Nothobranchius furzeri: one gene and its partners. The protein of the gene in region 1 purifies or fractionates together with the protein of each later gene. This does not show direct contact. Links are inferred from orthologs where the notes say so. Each region holds a gene or a part of one and is shown in the gene's direction. Other genes may lie near its edges. The genes, in order: sqstm1, ccnf, pink1, trim13, rad51, hadhb and nod2.

Region 1 (3,950 bases):
ATGTAAAACCTTATGGACCTGATTCTGGTGCAAGGTGTTAACTGGTTTAAATAAATATTTGTCTCAATGTCTGTAATTCATTCAGTTACCTGGTTTAAAAGTGGATTCATTTGGCTATTAATCAGTCTCACTGGAAGAACCTCACTCTAGCTCCAGGATGCTGAGAGCACTGATGCATTCTGGGATTGTTTAACTTTGTTTTAAGAACAAAAAGAAATCCAAGCATGCATGTTTATCATTGGACCAAAGCAATAAAAACAAATGATTACAATTAAATAATTGAAATTAAATGTTAAATTAATTTTACCTTAAGGTTGTTGAAACCTGATTATGTAATCAGAGCTCTTTATACAATGTAGTCAGAAAATATTTAGCTAATTCTTCCATTAAAAATCTTTGATTCTATAAATTGTTTTTAGTCAAGCTGACAAAACTGAATAACAGTTTCAAATGCAGTGACTTTCACTACATTGACCTTTAAAGGCTTTAAATGAGAGGTTTGGGTGGTTTTCAGCTTCATCTTGTGATTCTGAGTCAGCAAGTCATATGACTCATGCTGCTGCTGATTGGCTGCAGCGGCTGGGTGACATCACAGATGCAAACAAACATTTGATCAAAACAGAAGCTCATGAGACATTTGAAAAGAGTGATGCAAGGATGACTCAGGTGTTTGAGGAATACTGAGAGTTTGACTTATGTTTTACATTTCATATCCCATCTAATTGTTTACAACTGGACAGCAGAAAATCAGCTTGAATCTGGACTGATTAGAGCAGGATTTGCAGATTGCTTTCGTTTTAGCTGTAGATTAATTCTGTAAAAGTGTGTATGGGTTCTTGACTCTGTTGTAGTAATTACGGACTGGGGTTATCTTCAGCAGATAATTAACAGAAAAAGCATGTCGGGGTTGAAACCAAAGCTCAGTTAAAACACACACAAACATGCATGTTTATGTTTCTCTGCTGGATTTCTAGACCTGCAGTTGCGTTCTCAGCTGGATCCACTCATTTAGGATTTTCATATTTTTTTATTAATAAACTACAAATCAATCACTTTTCTAACAAATAAAACAATGTGCCACGTCACAATGACTAAGCGGCTTTCCCAACTAACACCTGCTCACGTGACTAGTTGGAAAGTCCCTCACCGTGCTGTGTAAAAAGATGTTTCTAGACGGCAATGGTCCCTCATTAGCGGAGCTCAATGAGGACCAATGGGAGGCTGTGTGCGTCTTTACGTCATCTTAAGACGATGACATAGAATGCGGAAGTAAACATAAAAGAGGCTGAAATTTACCGCTGCGTCACAAAGTTCTAGAGTTTGGTTCTCCGTTTGGTTGTTTTTCTGTCTCTGTTCGGAGTTTGGTTCGATTGAGTTCGTAATGTCGGTGACGGTGAAAGCCTACTTGCTGGGAAAGGACGAGCAGGTGAAGGAGATCCGCAGGTTTGCGGTGGACCAGGACGTCTCTTGCAGCTTCGAGTACCTGAGCAGGAAGGTGGCGGCAGCTTTCTCCAACCTGAGCAACTTCAACCTATTCTACAAGGGTGAGGCGCTTATATCAGAGCTGGTTCTGTTTCAACCCAAACACTGACTGGATTTCTGCTGCGTGTCTTTCTGGTTCTGGATTGTTTTTAATATTCTGATGAATGATGTTTGGTGCCACCTGATCTGTGCTTGGACTTGATGTTTGAGTTATGGTGTTTTAGATGAAGATGGAGACCTGGTGGCCTTCTCCTCTGATGATGAGCTGATGATGGGACTGGGTTTTGTCAAGGACGCCACCTTTCGCCTCTTCATTAAAGGTAAACAAGTCGTCTTCCTGTTATTTCTTTGTAAGGTTCCATCTGACTAAAGTTTTGTTGAACTCTTGCAGAAAAGAAGGAGCACCGCCGGGACTTCCCTCTTCATGCATTCCCCCCTTTCGCTTTCGGGCTCCCTCATCAACATGGACCTCCTCATGCCCCACCTCCTCACCCGGGCCCGCCCCCTGCCGTCCATCCCAACGTCACCTGTGACGGCTGTGAGGGCCCTGTGGTCGGAACGCGCTTCAAGTGTTCAGTGTGTCCAGACTACGACCTTTGCTCCACCTGCCAGGCTCGAGGGACCCACACTGAGCACCCTCTGCTGCCCGTGTGGCACCCTCTACAGGTGAGTAACCTGGATGACAGGTGTCAGAGCTCAGGTCACCACTGGCAGGTGTCAGAACAAGTCACATTTCCTGATTAAAATGTGATAAATCGGTGGTTTTCTTAAAATTTTATTTAGCAGTGGTTTCCTCGAGGAAAATGGATGAAAAAGATGAAACACTGCACGTGGAACCAGCACATGGCCCAGGCACAGACCCAAAACCAGGACCAGAACCAGAAGCAGGAGCAAACCATTCCCTCCAGCTCAGCATCTGACTGCAGCACCTCCTCTGGTAGGTGATGTGAACAGATCTGTGTTTATGTACAAACTGGTCATCAGTCAAAAGGAGTCCAACTCAGAGCCATTGTCCAATAACAGAGACTGACCTCTGACCTCTGTAGCTTCTCAGGTCAGCGTGAACTATTTGAAGAACATTGGCGAGGGCGTGGCTGCCATGCTGAGCCCACTAGGTGAGTTGTTTTACCTGGAGATGTTTTTAATGTGCAATAAACAAGAGGGAACTCATCCTAATACGCACACGAGTGTCATTCAGACATTTAAAGTCATTTTAAAGTGCTGTTCTGTCAATTTAGATTCCAAACTACTGTTTCTAGGAATAGGAAGTCCTCTGACCAGAGCATTACTTTTGGCTAGCTGGATCTGTGACATTAGAAGCTAATTTCCAGGATTAGCCAGAAGAAAAACCTCAATGTCCTGCTTTTCCTAATTGGCTGCTCCACTTGGGCAGAGTGAAAACCCAATGGCACACAGGCAGTAGCAGTAGCATAGTATTTCAAACGTTATTAGAATAAAACAAACAGCATAAACTAAAGAAACAATCTCATGTAAAATTGTAGGGCTTTAAAAACTGCTAATATAGCGTGCTAACGCGTCACTATGGGTTGTTTTTAAACACCAGAAACGATGTATTATTTCATTACCAAGCTGACTAGTTAGCCTCTGTTCAGAGGAGCACTTTGTTTCACCTTCGGTGATGTCACCTGCAGGCAGTGTCTGTACTGTAGATATATGACCTATTGACCATCCCTTCAGAAAGATCAGAATATCACATTTAACCGTTTCTATTAAACTTCCTGACAACAGAATCCTGATGAAGTAGGGACTTTATCTGTGCATGTGCAGGTATTGATGTGGACATCGACGTGGAGCATGAGGGGCAAAGGATGAAGGTGACTTCACCTACTCAAGGTGAGGAAGAGCAGGGTGAAGTGCAGATGGATGTGGGAGCTGGCGAAAGTGGAGCCAGCAATGAAGGTGGAGCAAAGCAGGGGCCAAAGGTCAGTCTTCCTCAGACAAAAACTAATAGATCAGTCTAATTAATGACAATTACTGACCAAATACACAAATCTGCAGGTGGGCCGAGATGAAGATGATGAGTGGACTCATCTCAGCTCTAAAGAGGTTGATCCATCTACAGGTGAGCTTCAGTCGCTGGAGGGCCAGGGCTCAGGCCCAAGTCCAAGTCCAGGTCCAGGTCCAGCTCCTCTGTCAGGGACCGAGGAGGGACCCACAGGTCTGCGGGAGGCAGCTCTTTATCCACACCTGCCTCAAGGTGAGTTCAGATTCTGCGGTTCAAGTTTTTTTTTTTTTTTGGTAGTCCTGTCCCTATTAAGCCCCTCCCCTTTGTCCCCCACAGAGGCTGACCCCCGCCTGGTGGAGTCGCTGGCGTCAATGCTCTCGATGGGTTTTACAGATGAAGGCGGCTGGTTGACTCGGCTCCTTCAGGCTAAAAACTTCGAGATTGGAGCTGCACTCGATGCCATCCAGTACGCCAAGCAGTCCCACCCACGCCAGTGACATCA
Region 2 (3,445 bases), on another chromosome or scaffold:
ATTTCATTAAATCCCATTGTAATTTGTGATTGGGCTGTTAACAGCCAATACTAATCAGATAACTGAGTCTCATCTCCGCAATAGTCTTTGTAAAAAAATAAAAATAAAAACATCAACAACACACCTTTTGAAACTGAATTAGCACCGATTCTGAATTTGTGGACCGATACCGGTTTGTAATTCTTGTACAGCTGATTCAGATTTAGGCTGGTTCTGATTTAACTCTGAGAAGAAGAAGTGTTTATTCCCAAATGAAGTCAGGAAGTAAAAACATTCACAGGGAGGATCTGTAACTTGGGAGTACTGGTGAGTTCACAGACCAGGAATAACGGTTTTTTTTAATTGCATAAAACCAAACAACAACAAACAAACCGTTTTTATGATTCAGTCGATCTTGAAGCCAGGTTTTTGGAGCATCTCTTTTCTTGCTCACTAACTATTGTTTCTGTCATTTCTGTGTCTCTCTTGTTTTCTTTTTTCATTCCATCTTAACCATAGTTTTTATTTTATCTTGAATCTTTCTTTATTTTTTATAGAGCTTGTGATTTTGAACTTGAAAGGTGTTATATATAAAACTTCCTTCTGTTTAAATCAAACGCACATCTGAATGAATCAAATATTCATGTTTTCCTTTTTTTTATTTCAGTCACATTTCATAAACCAGAGTTTAGTTCAAATACTCCACTAGTGGAAATAATAATAATAGAAAAACCAATAAATGCAGTTTGGATGACCTGTAGATATGACATCACCTCTATTGATTGTTTTGTTTCTCCACATTTGTATTGATCACCGATTGGGTAATAAAAATATATTTTCCATCCACAAAACTACAAATAAGATCTGAGAAAACACTCTGCTCCGTGTTGTGTTTTATGACTGCACTGTGACTCACACACACACGCACACACAAGTACCTTCTCACTGCTCTTTTCTCTGTAAAACCGATGAGAGCTATTGATCGGGCATGTGCCGGGCTGTTTTCAGCATGCACGTATTGATTAAGAAAAAGATGCTGAGAACGTCCGGTTACTAAAAAGAAAGGTCGTTAGGGATTTAAAGGTGGCATAAAACACAGATCATAAGAACAGTAGGAGGCACCACTCGATGTGAGTCACACAAACGTGAGTCACTTTGACGGACGAGCAATATGTCGGCAAACTAATTCTCAAATTGACAAGTAGCAAGATTTGTCGTGGAGACTTGATTATATCTGTGCAGCAAGCAAAGTGGATCAAACTCAATTTTTAAAAAAAAATTTATTTATTTTTTTTCCCCCACTTCTCCATTCTACCTCAGTTTCAGTGAAGATGTTCCCAAAGATCACAGACACGTGTCTCTGGCTGGTGTTGTGCAGCGATTTGAAGACGAGGCCTACCAGCAAATCAGCAAAGAAAAGGTAAAAGGATCAAACATTCCTCATTCTTTTTCTGCCTGTCTATATTGTTCTCAAATCCAAACGCTCATTGATTTTTTATTTTTTTATCTCTTTAAGGTGATGGATTTTAAAGAGCTCTGTCAGATCTTGGAGATTCCTGAAATTGAGCCTCAGATGGAACCTCCCAGTCCCACCAGTGGTCAACCAGCAGACATTCACACCTTCCTGGCTTCCCCGTCAAGCACCAGTAAGAGGTAGGTCAGCCGCCGACACACAGGCGACCTCGTGTTGGTGCTGGAGGATGTGGGACGGAGGAAAAGGTTTGTTACGAGACCAGACTCGCCAACAGGCCAGTGACGGCTGCCCCTGCCAGGTTTCTTGCTCATTTAGCGGTCCTGGTTGTCTCCTGAGCACCACCAGTGACTCGTGAACCGACTTGTCCAGAAGGCGTTTTTCTTTGTGCCGTCTGCCAGAAGCTCCTGTGACTCGCTGTAACCCTCCACTTGTCCACGTTCTCCCTGCAGGAGACGAGATGACAGCGTTCAGGACCACAGGGACAGTTTGGTGGCCACGCCCACAGCAGAGCTGTCCAATCAGGAGGAGACGCTGTTGGGAGACATCCTGGACTGGAGTCTGGACTCTTCCAGCTCTGGTTATGAGGGTGATCAAGAGGAAGAAAGCGATGGAGAGAAAGATGTGGATTGTGAGTGACAAGAACGAGGCTGAGAGTGTTTATTCCAACGGGATTATTAAAAGTCTTCCAGGCAATGAATATAAATGTTCTAATCTCCATGTAAAGTAGTAGAATAATGCATGAGCTACTCTCTGACTCGGCAGTTTTATTGTCCATCTTTATAAATGAAGACTAAATGTAGAGAAATAAAATTTGCTGTGCATTGTTTTTATGTATCTCATTTTTAATGTCTCTTCAACAGCTTCCATGATATCCATCAAACTGCACTCACTGGCTGGTGCTGATGATGGACGCGAACACTGCCGAGCTCTGTCCAGTGATGAAGACAGCTTCTGTGAAGTAGAAGTGAGCAAGGGTCACCAAGGTGAAGAAGCCCTCTCCGTGTCTGCAGACCCTCATAGTTCAGGGTACTCATCCGTCCAGAGCGTTAGCCCCTCGTCCACATGCTCCTCCTCCTCCTTCATGCATTTTGCATTTAGGACCTTTACCACCTCTCTGGGCGTGGCCTCCACTAACGCCCAGCCAGGTTTCCGCCTGTTGGTGCCCATGCAGAGGCCCAAAGGCACCTTCGCCAAACAAGTGAAGAGGAAGAACATTGCAGCTCATAGTGGAGGTGAAGTGGAACGAGACGATGATGACGACTTGGAAAGGGAAGGGTTTTCTGCCCGTGCTGGGTTTCTAAGCCTGTAGGAGGCGATATTTTTACGACTCACTCCGTTTCAAACCCGTCTTCACCAGCTGTCTCTCACTTAGTTCGTCAACCGCCAGAAGATCAATAGACTGGCTTTAAAGACTTGAAAGGGAAAACAAACACAATTAGGGATTGCTTGGAAACTCGTCGTTCTACCACATTTCATTTCCATGATTACAGGCGCGGAGCGGTTGGAAATCGCTCCCGTGAACTCGCCGTCATCTCTGAAACCCCCTGGAATATGACTTGATTGTTGCTCGGGAGCCTGGTGCTTTTCAGCCTGCTACAACAGCCTAGCTGAGATCACATTACTTAGCTGTAAAAGAAATAAAAACCACCGATTTACTGTTTCAGGTGGGAAAGAAAGTGTTGTTAGGGAAAAAAAAAAGCTGTTATAGTTTTTGTGACTATTAATATCGTCAAAGCCTTTGATATGCACTGTCTGTACAGGACAACCTTGTATTTGGTGAATTTCATCATAAGGCTACTACTGTGATCTAGTTGGTGAAAGTTTGCATCTGAAGAGGAGGCCCTCTTGCTTTTGTTTTGTCTTACATGTTTGCCAAAGGTGCAGAGGTGTCATTGGTCTTTCCCGTGGCCTCTGTCCAATCACACACAGCTGTGAAATGCATCACTTTGAGTCGGCAGCAGTCCCAACCGCACCACTCTGCTGTTGGTGACC
Region 3 (4,143 bases), on another chromosome or scaffold:
GACATTTTAGCTGTCCAGATTTTTATACAATGTTCACATATTTCAGTTTTTTGCTATTTAGGATGATTTTTCTCCATTCTTCACTAACTTTTTCTCTTCAAATTATTCTGGTGAGTGCTGGTGCTGCTGTAACAAGTGAATTTCCCCACTGTGGGATCAATAAAGTCTATTCTATTCTATTCTATTAAGTTTATTTATATAGCGCCAAATCACGACAAGAGTCGTCTCAAGGCACTTCACATAATAAACATCCCAATTCAGGTCTGTTCATTGAGCCAATCAGAAAAAATGTTTCCTATATAAGGAACTCAGCAAATTGCATCGAGTCACTGACTAGTGTCAGAGTCTTTACAGCAATCCTCATACTAAGCAAGCATAAAGCGACAGTGGAGAGGAAAACTCCCTTTTAACAGGAAGAAACCTCCAGAGAATCCTGGCTCAGTATAAGCAGCCATCCTCCACGACTCACGAGATAGATAGATAGATAGATAGATAGATAGATAGATAGATAGATAGATAGATAGATAGATAGATAGATAGATAGATAGATAGATAGATAGTAGGCCTACTTGTCTTGCATTAAGTTATTTACCTGAAATGTTGAAGGAATAAACCAACCGTACATAACATAAATGAACTAAGTCTAAAGTCAAATCGATAATGTGGCTCTATGCAGGTGGGTAGTTGGCAGAGGTATGGACTTGAGTAACATGACTTGGACTCGAGTCAGACTTGAGTATTTATTTTAATGACTTCTGATTTGACTTGATAAAACCTATAAAGACTTACAACTTGACTCGGACTTGAACACCAGTGAATTGCTACTTGAATCGACTTGCATCTGTTGACTTGATGATGACTTGAGCATATTTGATATTCAGCACAAAAGTGGCACGACACGGACGAAAATCATAAATGATTCTTTGTTCTGGGTTTGATCTTGTTCTGCCAACTGCAGCAGCACTTTGTTTATAATCAGTTTCAGTTGCACTTTCTGCTTATTTGAGCAAATAAATTCAGTTTTAAGAAGTTTTATTTCTGGAATTTATTTATTATCATTGTCATTAAATTGAAGTTGGACAGATGACTTGATTATGACTTGAAAATTCAAAGTTTAGGACTTGGACTTCCACATCATTGACTTTGGGCTCGACTTGAACTTGGTTGTCTTTGACTTGGACTTGACTGGAAAGACTTGTGACTTACTTGTGACTTGAAAAGCAGTGACTTGGTCACACCTAGTCTGGTAGTTGGACATGTGGTAGAAATGGCTCTTTGGGTTGTAATCACACATGTCGTGTGACGCTCTTGACGCTTGATGTCGCCAGAGGATCTTAGAATCTTCTGCGCATGCTCCACAGCTGTTGTTTACTAACAAGATAAGCTAGCGGAAGTGAGCTTTCCAAGCCTCTTGAGGCACATTTTTGTGTTCACAATGTCTGTGAAGCACGCCATTAGCCGGGGGCTGGAGTTGGGACGCTCCTTCCTTCAGCTGGGTCTTCTTAAATCCCGTGGCCGAGTCGCAGCGAAGCTCCTAGCTGAGCGTTTCCGTGCAGGCCCGTCGGTCCGCACCGTTCAGCCTCAGGCTTTCCTGCCGTCCCGGTACCGGTATTACCGCACCTCCCTGAAGGGGCTGGCAGCCCAGCTTCAGTACGCCGGCTTCAGGAGGAGGTTAACCGGCGGCTCGCCTCGTAACAGGGCCCTGTTTTTGGCTTTCGGTCTCGGCGTGGGTCTCGTCGAGCAACAGCTTGAAGATGACAGACGGAGTGCGACAGCCTGTCAGGAGATCCAGGTGAGGTTCTCTCGAAACGCAAACTTGCAGTCATGGCCAAATATTAATGATTCAAACAGAAGTTGAAACGAGAAGAGTTTGAGAATTTCTCTGGAAACCACAGTGAACCAGCATGATGGTGGCCTCCTGAGCAGCAACAGTGGGCTGCTAGAACATGAGCAGGATGTCGAGGAAAGCTGTGAGCTCATTTGTGGAGGAGTGGAAGAGCCATGACTGCGGGGTTGGTGTGGTCCTGTTCTCAGCATTGAATGCAAAGAACCATCACATCTTCAAATGCATTGTTGTTTATGTGTCAGATAAATACACTCGGCTTGTAGTGGGGGACCCAGACAGAGCCTTGGGGAACACCCAAAGAGCAGATCAGATGGAAACGCTGAGTTTGAAGAGTAGGTTCTGAACCAATTCTTTCTCCCAAACTGCAGGCAGTGTTCAGAAAGAAAACGTTCCAGAGCCCTCTCATACCGTTCAGCTCTGGATACAAGCTGGAAGACTACATCATTGGAAACCAGATTGGTAAAGGTTCAAATGCAGCTGTGTACGAAGCGGCACCTCAGTTTTTTAACTCAAAGGAAAGCAATGGAGAGCACTCGCTGGAACAGGTCAGAGAAGACAAAGAGGATGTCCAGATGGTGAGATCTCCAACGTGCTGCTCTCTGATGAACTTCCCCCTGGCTATCAAGATGTTGTGGAACTTTGGGGTGAGTCATTCAGGTCCAAAGAAAAAGGAAACTTAAAAAAAAACATAAAAACGACTTCTTTTAAATGTCATTTGTTTGCAGGCAGGGTCTTCGAGTGAGGCGATATTAAAATCTATGTCACAGGAGCTGGTTCCTTCTGGTCCTCTTGCATTTAAGCCAGAAGAGGAAGAGATCACCCTGGATGGGTAGATGTTTACACATTCTGCAGTGTAGTGCAGATCTGAGGACGATAGTCATGCTTATGTTTGATCTCTCTACATGCAGATATTTTGGAGTCGTCCCTAAAAGGGTCTCTGCTCACCCTAATGTGATCAGAGTTCACCGGGCGTTCACTGCAGATGTGCCGTTGCTTCCAGGAGCTCAGGAAGAGTATCCAGATGTGCTTCCAGCCAGACTCAACCCCGCAGGCCTGGGCAACAACCGCACTCTTTTTGTGGTCATGAAGAAGTGAGACCCGATTCCTAAATGTGAAATAGTTTGTGAACAGACTTTTGGGGAAAGAAGAAGGCCAGCAGATGCATTCAAGTGGATCATTCTGGTCATTTTTCACTTTTTGCTGTGCAGGTCATCCTCAGATACATAAGTGTTGTTTTTTGCTTCCATAGTTATCCCTGCACACTGCGACAGTACCTGCAGGTGACCAAGCCCAGCTGCAGGCAGAGATCCCTGATGGTACTGCAGCTCCTGGAGGGGGTGGATCATCTGTGCCAGCAGGGCGTCGCCCATCGGGATCTCAAGTCAGACAACGTGCTGCTGGAGTTTGACTCGGGTCGGATTTAAAAACACGAAGCTTCCATTAGACGCCATGTTTCTATCTGTTGCACTAAAATGATTTTGTTTGGGTTTTATTCTTCTAGGTGGTTGTCCTCGTTTAGTGATTACTGACTTTGGCTGCTGTTTGGCTCAGAGTGGCTCCAGCCTACAGCTTCCCTTCAGCAGCCTGTGTGTCAGCAGAGGAGGAAACATCTCGCTCATGGCTCCTGAGGTACGCTTCACCTCTTCTTTATCAGGATCAGAGCCAGCTTTAGCTGTTTAGTTCCTAAGGTCAGATCAGCAAACAGAAAAATGTCTCCAACTTTACTGGTTTGATTATATTGAGCTGAGAATTACTCACAAAACTTACTGGCTCAAGGGCTTGGGATCTGTTGGAAAAGTTCTTGATTAACGTGGAAACACGTGAAATTAGTATGAGTAGAAAACAGCACAGGCTAGTTAGGAATTAAGATTTTAATTGAAACGATGCTTATTTTCTTTAAACTTTAGTTTTCATTAAAGGGACTTTACGGCGTTTTGAATTTTTATGCTCGCGATTGCCCCCTCAGGCCAAAAGCATAACGGCAGCTTCAATAGTAGGCTCGTGCACGCATGCTGTACGTGCACACTCCTTAATGAAAATAACAGCTGAGACAGTCCCGTGTGTGTGTGTGTGTGTGTGTGTGTGTAGCCGGGAGGACAGGAGAACGCACAGCTAATTAATTAAATAATTTGGTTCTGTACCTTTCTCTTCAGCACAGCCGACAAAGGTTTATGATGGGTCAGTCCTCCTGCATGCTCAGATCATTCCCTTCCCTTGCTTGAAAAATTGTTCCAAAATGAAAGTTGAACCCACATCTTTTTTATCTGTGAATTCAATGCCGTTCGCCAAGTCTCAAA
Region 4 (3,767 bases), on another chromosome or scaffold:
TTTATTTGATGTTGAAATCTGTGTGTTGATCTTAATCAAAATGCAAAAGCTGAAGAAATCTGTAAGAGGTTATTTTTTCTCGACTGTAACCACGTCTCGTTAATTGTACTACAAAATAAAATTAACAAAGACAAAACGAATACATCTTGTAAGCTTTTGTGCCAAATTAATTATATTATTTTGTCTCAGTGGGGCTAAAAGTAAGCATTTGAAACCAACAAGACTACAATCGAAGAACATCAATAGCATTTTTGCTAGCTCATTTTAGCAGCGGGATTGACGCGCTATTAAGATACGTTTAGATATCAAACTGCGTCTGTATAAGGTCCTTGCAGCTCATAAAACCTTCCTTACCCATGTGATGAGTGTCTAACTGAACAGTGGGCATCTCTTTGAGGGGAACATGCCCCGAACCGCCTTCTCCGCAGCAGCCAAAACAACACGTAAACATCGCAGCCATTCTTGCTTCCACACTAGCCAAACATCCGGAAACGAACCCAGAAAACCAAAGAGCACAGGCGGTCACAGCATGAAAAGATCCGCCGTTATACAACACCGGCTCCTAGCGGAAATAGTCAGAACTACAAGTGTGCCTTGCTGCCTCACGGTATCCAATCACAGCTGCTAAGATAGGCAGTTGCTCCTGATGGCATGGAAACAAGGGAAGAAAATCAAGGTCAACATTTTTCCACGTGACTAAGTAACTATTGAGTATTGATGTTACATAACACAGAATGTGCTAAAAGTTGAATATGTGGGAATCGGAGTTTAGATTTGGCGTTCTAACTGTAATAAATCAGCCCATGACAGCACACTGATCAGCTTCTGTTGCTGAACCGAGGAGTACCTTTTACGTTTGCTCAGCGCGGCGCTGACTGGTGTTATTTATCATCCCAGTTATTGCAGCTGTAAGTGCACACAGTTGCATATTTTGATGATTACTAACACATAAAGTAGTCCAAAGTTAAAAAAGTGGATGCCAGGCTGGAACCATAACCTACTTGACAGTTTTTCACGCTGTAACGTTTTGCATAGCAACAGCCCCTCCCCCATCCGACTGCCAGGGATCCTCTGCGAATTACCCTACAGCGACCAAAAACGAAAACACTCAAGTACTCAACAAAGAAGCTGCCAAATGATCAGAAACACACATACGCGATGTGAAAATCGACACACACCACGATGGATGTCTCGTGTGCGCACAAATAGAAGGGAAACGCAATATTTCACATTTTAATGTGCGCCTGAAATGGTTAACCGCATACCCGGAAAGGGCGAAGTCTGCACAGCAACAAGCGCCATGATTGCGTTGCACTGAGCGTCTCAGCAGCTGGTGAGCGATTCTTTTGGTCCAGTAGTTGCATGTTACTATGCGCTTGCAAAATCTGTCATAAGCCCTGCTTTCGGTGCCTTGCCAACAAGGAGCGAGCTGATTGTTGATAATTTACCGCACTGGATTAGAGCGAGGGAGACGCGTCGTTTGATTTAAGGGCTCAGTCAGCTCTGTCTACTGAGAAACACATTTTTAGGACTTTCCATTTTCTGATTTGGTGACTTGACCTTTCTAAAAACCTTTCCAAGCGATAAAGGGTAGCAGATCCCTAAACAGGATGTCGCTCAGCCATAAATGCGCAAACGGAGTCGTTGTCAGCGCTCATGCCTGGGTTTTACGCAGGCACCGCGATGCAAGTCAGTTTCACTTTCAGGAGGGAAATGCTTCAGCCGGAACATGATTGCCATTCAAAATATGTATCGTTTGCGATGCTGCTGTGTTTTTGATAATAATTTTGTGGCTTACGAAGTGGCATGGCATCCATGTGAGTGTGAGTGATTATTGAATCTGACTGTCTAGGTCTGTATTTGACGCGCCGGTGATGTGTTTACAGGACGTCATGGAGCAGCTGGAAGAGGAGCTGACCTGTCCGGTTTGCTGTGGACTCTTCGAGGACCCGCGGGTGTTGCTGTGCTCACACAGCTTCTGCAAGAAATGCCTGGATGGACTCTTGGAAGGAATCAGGGGACCAGCTTTCAGAATTCCCATCAAATGCCCCACATGCCGCAAAGAAACCCCCCACAACGGCGCAAATAGCCTGCAGATCAACTATTCTCTGCGCGGAATAGTTGACAAGTTCAGCAAAATAAAGGTGATGCCAAAAATGAAGGTTTGTAAACAACACTGTGACCAGCCCCTGAATATGTTCTGCGCAACTGATTTGAGGCTCATTTGTGGCTTTTGCGCAACGACGGATGAGCATAAAGGGCACGGATTCTGCTCCCTGGATGATGCTTATGAGCAAGAGAAGAAGGCATTTGGAGAGCTGCAGCATGAGGTGAAGAGCTGGAGGAGCGCGGACATGCTGTCCTGTCTGGAGACACTACAAGCAAGTAAGAAAAAGGCGCTCCGGTCCATCACCAAGGACGCAGAGAAAGTGGCAGACTATTTTGATAAACTCATCAGTTCCCTCGAGTGCAAAAAGAGCGAGATCCTGTCCGATTTTGAAACCCTGAAGTTGGTGGTGATGCAGGCGTACGACCCGGAGATCACCAAGCTGAGCGCAGCGCTGGAGGAGCAGAGAGGTGCGCTCAGCATCATCGAATCCTTCAGGAGCGCATCCGAACCCCTGTGCTTTCTGCAGCAGATGCAAGAGTTCCGAGAGAAAATGAAAGTCCTCAAGGAGACTCCCCTGCCCTCACGCAAAGACATGGACGTCGGGCCACTTGTGAGCGAGTTTGACGTGAAAAGGTGGGATTCTCTCAGGCTCAGTGAAGTGGACAAGATCTCAGTCCCGTGTGAGAGTGGTTCCAGAACGCGATCCGCATGGATCACGGTGCGCAGATGGATCGTTTTATTCCTGATCACGCTGCCGATGTCACTCCTCATCCTGCCGCTGCTGCTGGACACTACAGAAATGACCTCAATGATCCAAGTGTTTCCCACTAAACGTTCTTTGCACGCTGACGCCTACATGCGAAAAGTGACTGAGATATGCGCAGATATGGTGGATGCAGGTCAGGAATATGTCAACAAGTTCATTGACAGCACTGTCCACTTTATGCACAGATGTAAATTATAATCTTCATTTCATTTTAAATATAACATCTAAAACTTATAATTTAGTGTTTACAATCTGTCTTTTGCCTCAAACGAGCCTTAAAATCAACCTCATTTTTCAGTCCAACACTAATTTACTTCACCTTTTACTAAATCTGGTATTCTTTTGTACCTTTTTTTATATATCTGAACACAAATAAACCCGAGAAATTTGAGTCACCTCTATGGCTGTTTTCATTTAGAGCATCAAACTGGGTAAAGAAGCGCAGTTGATTCATGGCCTCCCACAGGATGCGCCATGACGCTGCAACCTCCTCAAGGTTAGTTATGTAACAGGGCCCGTGTGAAATATTCATCAGGGAGAAAAAAGGAGCAGATCTCCAAAAATGCTTTCATAAACCCCCCCAAAATAACATGCTGCTTTATTCCACAATAAACATCTGCGGTCTCATTTATTTTCAAATGAACACTAAAAACTGTTTGAGTGCTCTGTGAACTCTCTAAATAAAGTAGCTCAGATCGAAAAAACTGTGAATTTTGTTGAAAAATGTTTAACATTTTATTTCCCTCTACAGGAATGAAAAGCCCCCAAACCAGACCACGAAGTGAATCATTGATGTCAGCACACGCCTTATTACAGGATGCGTCATGGCGCGCCTGTACATATATAGATTTCTGTTGCTGGGCAGATATAAGATAAAAACAACACAAGTCC
Region 5 (4,146 bases), on another chromosome or scaffold:
GCAGTCCTTCCCGGTCTGACCCAGAACCTGCGTCGGTGTCTTTGCCGAAAAACCTGCCTTGGACGTGAAGAAGCCAGGTGCCGGGCAATAGCCGTTCGTAACCTCGTCCTTCGTCTGTGGTCTTCCGCAAGCAGCAGTAATTCCTCTTGCAAAAACAAACAAGCAAAAAGCGCTTGGACAATTGATAAAGCGAGCGCAGCTCTGAGGGCATCCATGCTGTCGGCTAGTGTAAACACAGGTCGCACACGTGATGTCAGCATTTTTTTGTCGCGGAAAGTGACGTTGCGGACCTTAAAACTCCGGTTTTGTCTGTCCACACGCAGACACCCAAAACGGAGAAAACGCAGATCTTCACTTTGGCCGGAGTTTTTAAAAAGATGCGTTTTCGTGTGGATGACAGGCCAAAACGTAGAAAAATATCTACGTTTTGGCAGATCCCCGGCTACGTGTGGACAGGGCCTCAGACATCTGGTCAGAATGCTCCTGGACCCCTCCCTGCATTTCTGGGCACTTCCAACTGGGAGGAGACCCAAGTCCCAGGTCACGCTGGAGGGACTATGTCTCCCAGCTGGCCAGGGAATGCCTTGGGTTTCCCCGGAGGAGTTGGCCCATGTAGCTGCAGAGAGAGAAGTCTGGGCCTCTCAGCTTGGGCTGCTGCCCCCATGATCCAACTCCAGATAAGCAGCTGAAAATAGATAGATGAACGGACACCTAAATTTTCCCTCTGGGGACAATAAAGGAATTTTCTTTTGTATTTGTTTCTCAACTGAGGATTATTTTACAGAATAAATCCTGCTTTTCATTTAGGAGAAACAGCTGGCTGCTGTCATCCTTTTGTTTCTGCTGGTGGCATTGTTTATATCCTGGTAATGTTCTGTGAATGCTGGACGCTGGAGCACTAAGATCTGTATACCCCCCACTCACCACTGCCCTTTGTCCACCTGCAGACCTCAGTACAATCATGTGATGGATTAACAGATTCATAGTCTTGTGCAGTGCCAAATGGTTTATCTTTTTATGATAACTAATAAAAGCAACAGCAACATACTCTTACTTTTACCTTGGTGTAGATTTAACATTATGTTCTAAAAACTGTCTGCTATTCTATGCATCGATGACTGCATTTTAGATAGCTAAATTGCTTTTATAGAAATCACATTATTATAAATAATAATAATAATAATAATAATAATAATAATAATAGATAATAATAATAGATAATAGATAATATTATAGTATAATAATATTATAATAATTCATAGATTATAAAAAAAGAAGAAAAAAGCTCTATATGCTTTTATTTTGACGGGAAAAGAGATATCCTGTTTCACGCAAGCGAACTGTACGTTAAACGTCATCGCGTTGTTGTGCGCGCGGGACCTTTGAGAGAAGCGAGATAAAAACAAGAAGAAGAAAGAAGCAGGTAAAACGTTAGCTAGTACGGCATTATCGAGCAGGTACGTTAGTAAAAGGCTGTCTAGTATCATGTGTACGAGCTTACGAGACCGCAGCGTGAGTTTTAATCAGACTTATCTCTGGTCTGAGCAGGTTTGTCAGCAGTTTACAGACATTAACGCCACTTCAGATGCAGCGACAGTGCTAATGCTAAGCTAGCTGGCTGCCTGCGTAAAACTGCCAGGAAACCTCTTTTCAGGAGGTGGACATCTGTAACTGAAGATGATGGCAGTTTTATATTTTAGCTTTGATTTCAATCACAATCTTTGAACGTTGGCTCTGTGTTCTTGTGTTTTACAGCGTTGTTAAAACACTCTGAGCTCCACCACACAGAGTTGTGCTCTGTTTCACCGTCTGCGTCCCTCCTGTCTGCCTGATCCAGCTGCCATGGCGATGAGGAGCGAAACAGCAGTGGAGGCAGAGGTGGAGGAGGAGGAGAACTTCGGCCCACAGCCTCTGAGCAGACTGGAGGTTCGTTTCCTGACTTGTTCCCTCTGAGTTATTCTGGTCTTCTTTCACTCGAACTTTGACTTGTTTTATGGATGTTTTACAGGTTTTTCCTATGATTCACGTGAAGTAAACGTAAATGTGAATGCACCAAAGCACATTAAAGGTGAAGCTGTCAGCTTCACTCTAGGACAAGAAGTCTCCTTTGTGTCCAATCTGAATTGTAAATGCAGTCCTACAGGACACGTATCAGACAGTAGTAACCTCTCAGATACCAGCTGCCAGGTGCTACCTACACGAACATGACCCCAGAACCGCTCTCACACACCAGCGAAGAGTTTTGTCTTCTCTTTAAAAGCAGAAGAGGTTCTGTTGACGGTGGTCATTTCTCAGCTGGAACTAAAATCTGCAGCTCACATTAACTTCTTATTCAGGACCCTTCAGTATCGTATTGTGTGTGCTTTTATCTCAGACAAAACGGAGCTGTTTGATGACGGCAGTGATCCACTTTGGTCTTTGTCCTGTTTGGACTAGCTGTTAGCTCATCAATCTGGTCAGGACTAATCTGTTTCTCTAAACCGAGTCGGCTCAAAGAGCCAGGCAGTGATTGGTCAGAACCTTTTACAGAGTCTCCCTACAAAGATCTTAGCTGTATGTTGTCTTGTTTTATCCTCTAAGCTCAAAATGATCATTATTATTATTTTTGGTTTATTCAAAAGCTGAGCGCTGTTTCACCTGAGAGCTTGTCACTATAAGAACCCTGTTATGGTTTTAGTCTATGATCCAGTTCAGCAGCTCCAGTAGTTTCTGAGAGGGGATCACTGATTACCTGCTACTGTGGATGTGGAACAGCGTTTGTGCTCCTTTAGGTCGGTTCGGTCAGTGATGTCTGTACAGGGCTCTGGTTTTCCTGACTCAGTGGAATGATACTAGACTGGTCCTTGTCTTTTCATGCAGCAATGTGGCGTAAGTGCCAGTGACATCAAGAAGCTGGAGGACGCAGGTTTCCACACCATCGAAGCTGTGGCTTATGCACCGAAGAAGGAGCTGCTGAACATCAAGGGCATCAGCGAGGCCAAAGCAGACAAAATCTTAGTAAGGAGCATATTTTTATTCTCTGAGACATTAATATGCTTCTAGGAGAGAAGAGATCCATGGCAGCAACACCACCTATTTAACACTAAACACTAGGGTGAAATTAAATTGGTGAAATTATGGTGATGCAATATGTATCACGATACATTCAGGACATTAGCGATTTTTATTTATTTATTTATTTTTGACTGAATTTATTGTAGGAAAATTCAATAAACAGTCCAAACTGATACATAACATGTTTAACATGAGGTATCTGAACCATAATAGAGATTTACATTTCAATGGTGGATAGGAAACCCATTGCACACTGCTGCCATCTAGCGGTCAGCGTTTGCATCGCACCAAAATAAAAGCAAATACACAAGTTTGCATGTAAATTCTTTCAAAAATTAGACTCACAGCTTTTGAATATGGATGTAATATCACTAGAAAAAATATCAAGCTATATTGCCATATCGATATTTCCTTACATCCCTAGGCTACGTTATAAAACTATATCAGAAGCGTGTTGTTAATTCAATTGAAAAATACTTTATTAATCCCAGAGGGAAAGAGTCTGGACTTTAAAATCTAACAGATGTTACATTGAAAAACCTCTCTGCCCTTCTCACTCACTGACTCTCTGAAGAAAATGTTCTCAACGAGATGAAGAACACAAGCTTGCGATTGGTCAGGACGCCGCTTTCGTCAACAGCATTGTCATTGTGCTCTCAGAACCATAAAGCAAGCTGAAGACGTGTAGCAGCAGACCGAACACGCGTGTGCGTCTCCAACCTGTGGAGATGACGCAGAAGCATAAACGAGTCTCTTGAGAACAACAGGCTTTGTTTTACGATGCACATCCTTGAACCCAGATGCATCACACCAAGCCACACATGACAAACCGTCCCGCAGCGCTGATGAGGGCTCTAGTTTTGTTGCGCCGTTTGTGTCAGCGGACATTGTAGGGTCGGGGAGGGGGGCGGGGCATGACTATATATAAAGTGCTGGGGGAATCCCTGCACCTGATATGTGCAGGTAAACATGGGGGCTCCTGCGCGTGACGTAGAGATGACTGTCTGGAGTTTAGAACCAGAGGCTTCATCTGAAGTGGTCCACCTTAACCCCCTCTGTGATGTCACCAACACGAGGTTATTGAGTAAATGA
Region 6 (3,096 bases), on another chromosome or scaffold:
CACACTCGCCAAAAAGGCCCAGAGCGACGGGCTGCTGGAGGATGTGGTGTCCTTTAAAGTGCCAGGTAAGCTCTGCTTCTCACCTCAACAGTAGGGCTGTGCCATCTTACGTAGATTCTTGCTGTCTTTTTTTTCTCTTGTCATAGCTTTTTGTTTTTTTCCACTTAATTCAGCACACGTTAATTCAAGCTACCAAATACCGTTTACTCCACTACTTTATTCATGTAAGATCGAACAAATTCCCTACGTAGGCTTGAAACCTACAGGATAAACCTGGATAATGAAAGTTAACAGGTCAGTTTAGTTTTTGAACTGGGATCAGCTGAGAGTCGGCAGAGATGTGGCGCTTCTGGTCTTTAAAACACCCGACCGTTCACGTGGGGCTGTGAGGACCTTTAGGAGCGTTGCTTCAGTCGGCATAACACTTTAGTTTAGGGAACACCAATTAACCATTAATTAGCTGCTAATTAATATGCATATTAGTGGACATCTAAGTCTGAGCTAGTCATTATTAAGCACTTATAAACAGCTTATTACTAATGCCGTCATTCTAACATTAACAGGCCATAAACTAAGAGTTTTATCTAAATAAGCCATTCATAATGGTTTGTTACCTGTTTGGTAACTGGTTTGTTGCTGATTAACACACATGCTAAGTAGCTCACATCAACTGACCCTTTGCACGTGACGTCACGCCACTCATGTGACCGCCCCCTTCGCCATGCTGGACGGCAAAAAGACCGTTTACACCCGTAGAAACTCCAGTGATGGTAGTCAAAACAAGCCAGTTTGTAGCCTTGTATCGCTTTTATTTAGTTGATTTGACAGTAAAATGGTTTTAGCTTGCTGCGTGGTCGGCTGCACTAAGAGACAAGGACGTAAACTCAACTCGTTTTTTACTTTTAATAACTTTGATGGAGACTGATGACGGAGATGATGCAGCGATCAATCAAGCGGACTAGCAGGCCTCAGATTTGCAGCAAACATGTTTTTACCTGGTAAGATTAACGTTCATTTATTTCACGAGGAAGACAGGGATAAATGTGATGTGTTTATACTAGTTATTGATAATCCTGATGGATGGGTATTTCACCACGGAGGCTGCGCTCCGTCCACTGTAGTGTAAAGCGAGACAATTATTAACAATATTAAAGCTCAGATGTATGATTACGTGTGGTAAAATGATGTTATTTATTTATATGAGCGTCGGCATTCAGAGATCTTCTCATTCCGGTGTGAGAGCAGCAGCTGAACCCGGTAACACCACCAGCAACAGAAGCTGGTAGGGATCCGGACTCAGCTTTGGTGTAAAATGCTGTTTACAACATAAAGTTATAAATCCAAAGGGGTGAATTTAGGCAAAGTCAGCAACATGTTTACATCGGTGAACAGCTGCAGAGAGAACGTAAGCTAACGTTGGTAAGCTAGTTAACATACCGCTCTCTATGAGCCCCCGCTAGATGCGCTACTTCTTCTGATAACTGAACTGGGCATGAACTAGTGGAAGGAATGCTGGAGGAGTTTTGTTTTTGTTTTGATCACAAAAACAATTTCAGGCTCTACTTTTCCCTTTGTTTACTACTCGTGTCGCTCACTGTTTACATGCTTTAGCCGTCCACCATGGTGGACCCACGTGATTAGGTGACGTCGGTGCAAAGGGTCAATATGTGGCTTTTAAAGATGTAATTCAAGGGGAACATATTCTTGCCTTTAAGTGGTTAATTAATACAGAACTACTAGTAATTAGGTATGAACAAAATCTGACTTTAGAATGGGGAACATATTCTTGCTTACAAGTGGTTAGATTGTTGTTTAGGCTCTATTAACATGGAGTTTGGTGTTTATTTGCATATTACCAGAACGTAATATTTTTGGTTATTAATGCAGAATAATTATTCCCCTTCAATTACTTTGTTACAAGCCTCACATTGATGATATTGAATCAGCAACAAACCATTATGATTGGCTCATTTTGATAAAACTCTTAATTTATGGCCTGCTAATATTAGAATTACAGCGTTGGTAATAATCATCTAATAATAGCTTAATAATGACCAATTCAGACTTAGTAGTCCACTAATATGTATGTAAATTGGCAGCTAATTAATGGTTACTTTGTGTCCCCTAAACTAAAGTGTTACCAAAGCAAGTTACGTTCAAGCTAACAGGAAGCTTGTGACAGCGAGGAGACGGCGCCCACACCCTTTATCCCACCATCATGTGACCACTTTTATGTGGCCAAAGGCTCCCGGGTGCTGCCTCGGCTTTGCAGCAAAGCAACGCCGGAGATTTATGGAGAGGCCGGAGTTGCGGGAAAGTTTAGTTAATCCTTCCTCGGCTGTTTGCTAGTTAGGAGGAATAACCTCTGGCTTCTTCTCTTTATCTAACCCGGGATGGAAACGCGGAAGGTGTGTTGCTGTTGTGCTTTTAGTTTTACACAACTCTTCTTTAATCTGTCTGACGAGTAAATCTCACACTCAGTGGCTGAAACTAATAAAAAAAAAAGCTTCCGCCGTTGCGGGTTTGTTTTTTTCGCTGGTCCGTCCCGTAAAGTGTCCGGGTGGCACAAGTAACTTTTATGTTCCTACCACGCCCGACGGCTGTTTTAGCATTTATTTATAATCGGTTATGAACATTTATGAATAGATGTTTGAGTTGGCACGTGTCTCACCCCTACTGATTATTATCTTTACTGTCATTTGTTTTGTTTACAGAATGTTTAGGGGAACAAACTGTGGTTAAAAGTCTGTATGTTTGTCTCTTCAGGTCGTGATATTGTGTCTCAGGACAACGGTATCCGCCCATCGTCCATGGAGCAAATGGCCAAACTCAAACCTGCCTTCGTTAAACCTCACGGGACCGTCACTGCCGCCAACTCGTCCTTCCTGGTAAAACTCGCCTGGACTCTCGGGGTCTTTCTGCTCCGGTGTGATGGAAACTCATCAGTTAGAACTTTATTCCACCATGATCTTCTCCGCTAGAAGTCTAGATGGAGCTTTTTATGTCTCTGCTTGTCTTTCAGCTTCTTCTCTTCCGTCACGTTTGTCTGATTTTTCCTCGACTGTAAATAAATGTACGTTTATTTCATCAGACTGA
Region 7 (4,019 bases), on another chromosome or scaffold:
GGAGTTAAGTGCTTGCTCTGTAAATGGAAGGTTGCAGGTTCGAGCCCCGCTCAGTCTGTCGCGGTCGTTGTCTCCTTGGGCAAGACACTTAACCCACCTTGCCTGCTGGTGGTGTTCGGAGGGACCGGTGGCGCCTACGTACAACAGACTCACCTCTGTCAGTGCGCCCCAGGGCAGCTGTGGCTACAATGTAGCTCATCAACACCAGTGTGTGAATGTGTGTGTGAATGGGTGAATAACTGATTGTGTTTTAAAGCACCTTGGGGGGTTCCAGGAATCTAGAAGGTGCTATATCAAATACAGGCCATTTACTATAACAGAGCACTTATATTTTTAATTAAAATATAGCTTTTAAAGGAAATATTGTATCTTCATTCTGCACACCTCTAAACGCCCCGTGGAGGTATTATTAAAACAATGTATAGCTTTTTATGAAATTGCTCCATATTCAACCTTTAATGTACAAACTACTCAAATAAATAAAATAACATAAAAATACAAGTAAAAAACAATTGAGTAAAAAAATAAAGCTAGTGAAAAACTGAGTAAATGTTTGACCACAACGGCTGATTTAATTTATCCACTTTTTAAATCAGATAAATACATGTTTTAAATGATATGTTAACTTATTATTAGATAGTTTTAGGGGCAAAATTGAAGATAAGTAAAATGTAATAACCGCACTTTAAGATGACAAATGAGCCCACAGGGGCGTAGATTTGGCATCCAGCGATGACCAAATTCTCCCCACCATTAGTCTGACTGCCAACGTTAAAAAAAACCAACAAGCCAGAGGAGCAGAAAGGGTTAAAGGACCTACCTCTGTGTTGCACATGGCCAGGATGAGATGTAGGTTTATCAAGTCCCCACAAGCAGATGAGCTCGAGCCTCCTGGTTTGGTTTTTGTTGTGGAACACCGCCATCTAGTGGCTCCAACACCAAGTTACAAGTGGTTTAGATCTGTGTTTTACTTTTGATTTCCCTGAAACACATTAGTGTTGGTTTGTTTAAACATTTTAAACAATATCCTGTCAAATCAAATTCATGAGGATGCTTAAGCTTTATGGTAGTTCAGCCATTGTTTACTTTCTGCTCCACTGGAGCTGCTTGGCAAACAGACCAGGTTTCGGTTTTTAGACGAGGAATGAGGAAGAGGTGGTTGAACGGTCCTTTTGGGTTGATGAGGGCTGGAGAGAAGGCAGTCAGTCGCTTTGTGTTTACAGGTGAGAGCGAGTCTTCTAGTCTGTTGAAGGGGGACACTAGAGGAAATCTGATTTCTGTGCTTTCCTGATGGACTGGTTGGTACCAGATGTGAAGCTGAAGGATTGAAGCATGGGAGCTGATAAGACTGAAGCATGCTTGCTCAGGAGCTGCTGCTGAAACAGCGTTCAGAGGTTCTCCACGCCCTCTGCAGGAGCGGCTCAGCTGAGCACCTGGAAAGGGTTCTGGACGTGCTGCTGGCTCAGGGGGAGCTGGGATGGGAGGACTACCAGAGCATTCAAGTCCCGGGGAGGGCCCTGCACACCAACGCCAGGCAGCTGCTCGACCTGCTTTATACAAAAGGTGAGGAAGCCTGCAGAATCTTCTTCGCTGCTGTCAATCAGGTCTTTCCAGAAGGCCAAAGAGTTGGCCTGTCCTCAGGATGTCCCCCACCTTTAGAGGACAGAGTTCAGAAGACGTCTGCAGAGACAGTTCTAATACAACGGCTGAGTTTGGTCTGCAAGCTTCAGGACTGTGTGGATGGTGCTCTGGAAGCTCTCCTGGAATCAGGTCACTTTTCCTCAGAGGAACGAGATGAGGTCCTGCTGCCTGTTCACACCCCGTCTCAACAGGTAAAAAAGGCATTTGTAAACACATCTCCTCCATTTTGTGCTCTTTTGTCACTTACTGTTTTTGATTGACGGAGGTAGCTGGTGCAGAATACGGTTTCCAAGACGACTGGATTCATATAAGTAGGACATATCGTAATATGACTAAACTCACCTTTGTGCCACCACCTATAAACACTCCAAACCTGAAAGTGCCCGTCCATCTGTCGGGGTTTGGCTTCAGGGAGTATTTGCGAAATATAAACGGTTTGAAAAAGTCCCTGTTTGTGATGTCATAATAAGGGAATCGCTGATTGACGCAGACATCAAAGGTCAAATGTCCATCAGCAGGATACCAGAGAACCAAATTCATGATTCCATCAGTTACAACCAGTCGTCAAGAATCCCCAAAAGGGTTTAAATGTTGTTCTGGGTTCTTATGTTCTTGGATTTCTAGAACAGGTCATGATGTTGGCTTTTTGAGATCTTTTAGCCTTCTTTGTGGTGTCAGGCAGCTTCTTTTGAAGGGATTTGAAAACTTGTTTTGTGAAACATAGTTTCACCCTTATGTCATCATGTCCTTATTTGGGCTGTACCAACTTCCTGTTTAGTCCACTCTAAGATGCTAGTTTGGAGCTTTAGAGCTCTGCGTGGACGAGAACGTCCACATCTCCAGCAGGTCCCTGGGGTTGTTCCATCTGGGTCTGATGGAAATTAGGGTTCTCCCTCTGATCCTGAGCCTGTGGCTTCTTTTTAACATTCATTCTGACCCGTTTTTTTTAGGTATGAAGTGATTTATCTGGAAAGCTTTGGTGTAAAAAGCCATAAACCCGCAGACGGGTCAGACATGTGACTGAAGGATAGAGGAGATTTTAGTACAGCGACTGCTAAATTAGGGTTTTACTTCTGCACATCACCTCGTTTCCTCCACAGCTTCCTGTCTGAAGCTCTAATCGGGTGCGCCGAGCCGTTTCCTGTGCAGTTATCTCCTCTAAAATGTGAATTTAAAAAGTGGAACTGCTGCTTTCGGCCTCGGGTAAATTTGTTCTCGTTCAAACCCAACCAGGCCCGGCGTTTGCTCGATCACGTCGGATCCAAAGGGGAGTCTGCGGCGTCAGCTCTTCTTCAGTTCATCCAGCGAAGACAGGAATCTGGATCCCAGCAGAACCAGAGGGAACTGGAAATCCCTAAAGGTATCGTGTCTTCCGGGTCAAAAGTCTGCCAGTCCACCTCAGCACCAAAATACTCTAAAACTATTAAAGGTATTGGTCCACCAGACCGATATGTTGGTTGATTTGTCCATTGATTCATATTTTATTTATTCTGAAGTGTAGAAATGTACAAATATTAGCTAAAGAGGTTCCTGAACAGCCTCAGTGGGGAGAAATAGGGTTACATGGTGGCACAGGAGTTAAGTGCTCGCCCCGTAATCGGAAGGTTGCAGGTTCGAGTCCCGCTCAGTCTGTCGCTGTCGTTGTGTCCTTGGGCAAGACACTTAACCCACGTTGCCTGCTGGTGGTGGTCGGAGGGACTGGTGGCGCCAGTGCTCGGCAGCCTCGCCTCTGTCAGTGCGCCCCAGGGCAGCTGTGGCTACATTGTAGCTCATCCCCACCAGTGTGTGAATGTGTGTGTGAATGGGTGAATGACTGATTGTGTTGTAAAGCGCCTTGGGGGGTTCCAGGACTCTAGAAGGCGCTATATCAAATACGGGCCATTTACCATTTACCATTTACATCCTACAGCTCTGGTTCTCAGGACCTCGTTGTTCAATGAGTTTGGAAATTAAGGATGATCCAGAACTTTGGTAAACAGGAAAATTATTTTTATTATAATTGATATAATTGATAATTGATAAAGGCTAAATTTAAATATTAATAATAATGCATTGAACTTAAATAGCTCTTTTCTAGACACCCAAAGACGCTTTCACACACTCTCACATTCACACACTGCTAGTGATGGTAAGCTACTTGTAGCCACAGCCGCCCTGGGGAGGTCTGACAGAGGCGAGGCTGCCATTTGGCGCCGTCGGCCCCTCTGACCACCACTAACACAGGCATGTTGGGTGAAGTGTCTTGCCCAAGGACACAACAGCAGGATTCCCCTGGCGGGAGCTGGAATCGAACCCACGACCCTCCGATCATGAGGCAACCCGCTCTACCACCTGAGCTACAGCTGCCCCAAATATTAGCTATTGACTAGTAGAACAGT

Evidence for each region.
Region 2: the proteins of sqstm1 (region 1) and ccnf purify together in Homo sapiens (affinity purification with western blotting; 3 studies listed by BioGRID). This does not show direct contact. The link is inferred for Nothobranchius furzeri from reciprocal best matches to the Homo sapiens genes SQSTM1 and CCNF.
Region 3: the proteins of sqstm1 (region 1) and pink1 purify together in Homo sapiens (affinity purification with mass spectrometry; 3 studies listed by BioGRID and IntAct, with this or other methods). This does not show direct contact. The link is inferred for Nothobranchius furzeri from reciprocal best matches to the Homo sapiens genes SQSTM1 and PINK1.
Region 4: the proteins of sqstm1 (region 1) and trim13 purify together in Homo sapiens (affinity purification with western blotting; 3 studies listed by BioGRID). This does not show direct contact. The link is inferred for Nothobranchius furzeri from reciprocal best matches to the Homo sapiens genes SQSTM1 and TRIM13.
Region 5: the proteins of sqstm1 (region 1) and rad51 purify together in Homo sapiens (affinity purification with western blotting; 3 studies listed by BioGRID). This does not show direct contact. The link is inferred for Nothobranchius furzeri from reciprocal best matches to the Homo sapiens genes SQSTM1 and RAD51.
Region 6: the proteins of sqstm1 (region 1) and hadhb purify together in Homo sapiens (affinity purification with mass spectrometry; 3 studies listed by BioGRID and IntAct, with this or other methods). This does not show direct contact. The link is inferred for Nothobranchius furzeri from reciprocal best matches to the Homo sapiens genes SQSTM1 and HADHB.
Region 7: the proteins of sqstm1 (region 1) and nod2 purify together in Homo sapiens (affinity purification with western blotting; 4 studies listed by BioGRID and IntAct, with this or other methods). This does not show direct contact. The link is inferred for Nothobranchius furzeri from reciprocal best matches to the Homo sapiens genes SQSTM1 and NOD2.

What each region holds. Positions count from the first base shown.
Region 1 is NC_091741.1:64,353,584-64,357,533, forward strand, and holds the start of sqstm1 (sequestosome-1), read left to right. Parts: upstream 1-1,150; 5' UTR 1,151-1,381; coding exon 1,382-1,544; intron 1,545-1,706; coding exon 1,707-1,802; intron 1,803-1,873; coding exon 1,874-2,148; intron 2,149-2,265; coding exon 2,266-2,419; intron 2,420-2,528; coding exon 2,529-2,597; intron 2,598-3,270; coding exon 3,271-3,425; intron 3,426-3,501; coding exon 3,502-3,700; intron 3,701-3,784; coding exon 3,785-3,945; 3' UTR 3,946-3,950. UniProt on the Homo sapiens protein: Molecular adapter required for selective macroautophagy (aggrephagy) by acting as a bridge between polyubiquitinated proteins and autophagosomes.
Region 2 is NC_091752.1:57,977,772-57,981,216, forward strand, and holds the end of ccnf (cyclin-F), read left to right. Parts: intron 1-1,299; coding exon 1,300-1,399; intron 1,400-1,495; coding exon 1,496-1,632; intron 1,633-1,902; coding exon 1,903-2,081; intron 2,082-2,313; coding exon 2,314-2,762; 3' UTR 2,763-2,945; downstream 2,946-3,445. UniProt on the Homo sapiens protein: Substrate recognition component of a SCF (SKP1-CUL1-F-box protein) E3 ubiquitin-protein ligase complex which mediates the ubiquitination and subsequent proteasomal degradation of target proteins.
Region 3 is NC_091755.1:38,779,652-38,783,794, reverse strand, and holds the start of pink1 (serine/threonine-protein kinase PINK1, mitochondrial), read left to right. Parts: upstream 1-1,343; 5' UTR 1,344-1,435; coding exon 1,436-1,792; intron 1,793-2,214; coding exon 2,215-2,490; intron 2,491-2,571; coding exon 2,572-2,675; intron 2,676-2,754; coding exon 2,755-2,937; intron 2,938-3,095; coding exon 3,096-3,259; intron 3,260-3,347; coding exon 3,348-3,475; intron 3,476-4,143. UniProt on the Homo sapiens protein: Serine/threonine-protein kinase which acts as a sensor of mitochondrial damage and protects against mitochondrial dysfunction during cellular stress.
Region 4 is NC_091754.1:26,763,769-26,767,535, forward strand, and holds trim13 (tripartite motif-containing 13), read left to right. Parts: upstream 1-1,343; 5' UTR 1,344-1,656; coding exon 1,657-1,689; exon of another isoform or gene 1,690-1,817; intron 1,818-1,886; coding exon 1,887-3,074; 3' UTR 3,075-3,267; downstream 3,268-3,767. Other genes in the region: spryd7b (SPRY domain-containing protein 7b), read right to left, coding at 355-460. UniProt on the Homo sapiens protein: Endoplasmic reticulum (ER) membrane anchored E3 ligase involved in the retrotranslocation and turnover of membrane and secretory proteins from the ER through a set of processes named ER-associated degradation (ERAD).
Region 5 is NC_091743.1:91,861,197-91,865,342, forward strand, and holds the start of rad51 (DNA repair protein RAD51 homolog 1), read left to right. Parts: upstream 1-1,346; 5' UTR 1,347-1,423; exon of another isoform or gene 1,424-1,457; intron 1,458-1,755; 5' UTR 1,756-1,842; coding exon 1,843-1,926; intron 1,927-2,859; coding exon 2,860-2,997; intron 2,998-4,146.
Region 6 is NC_091742.1:11,824,653-11,827,748, reverse strand, and holds part of hadhb (trifunctional enzyme subunit beta, mitochondrial), read left to right. Parts: coding exon 1-65; intron 66-2,766; coding exon 2,767-2,888; intron 2,889-3,091; coding exon 3,092-3,096. UniProt on the Homo sapiens protein: Mitochondrial trifunctional enzyme catalyzes the last three of the four reactions of the mitochondrial beta-oxidation pathway.
Region 7 is NC_091749.1:70,956,527-70,960,545, forward strand, and holds the start of nod2 (nucleotide-binding oligomerization domain-containing protein 2), read left to right. Parts: upstream 1-1,219; 5' UTR 1,220-1,355; coding exon 1,356-1,832; intron 1,833-2,874; coding exon 2,875-3,001; intron 3,002-4,019. UniProt on the Homo sapiens protein: Pattern recognition receptor (PRR) that detects bacterial peptidoglycan fragments and other danger signals and plays an important role in gastrointestinal immunity.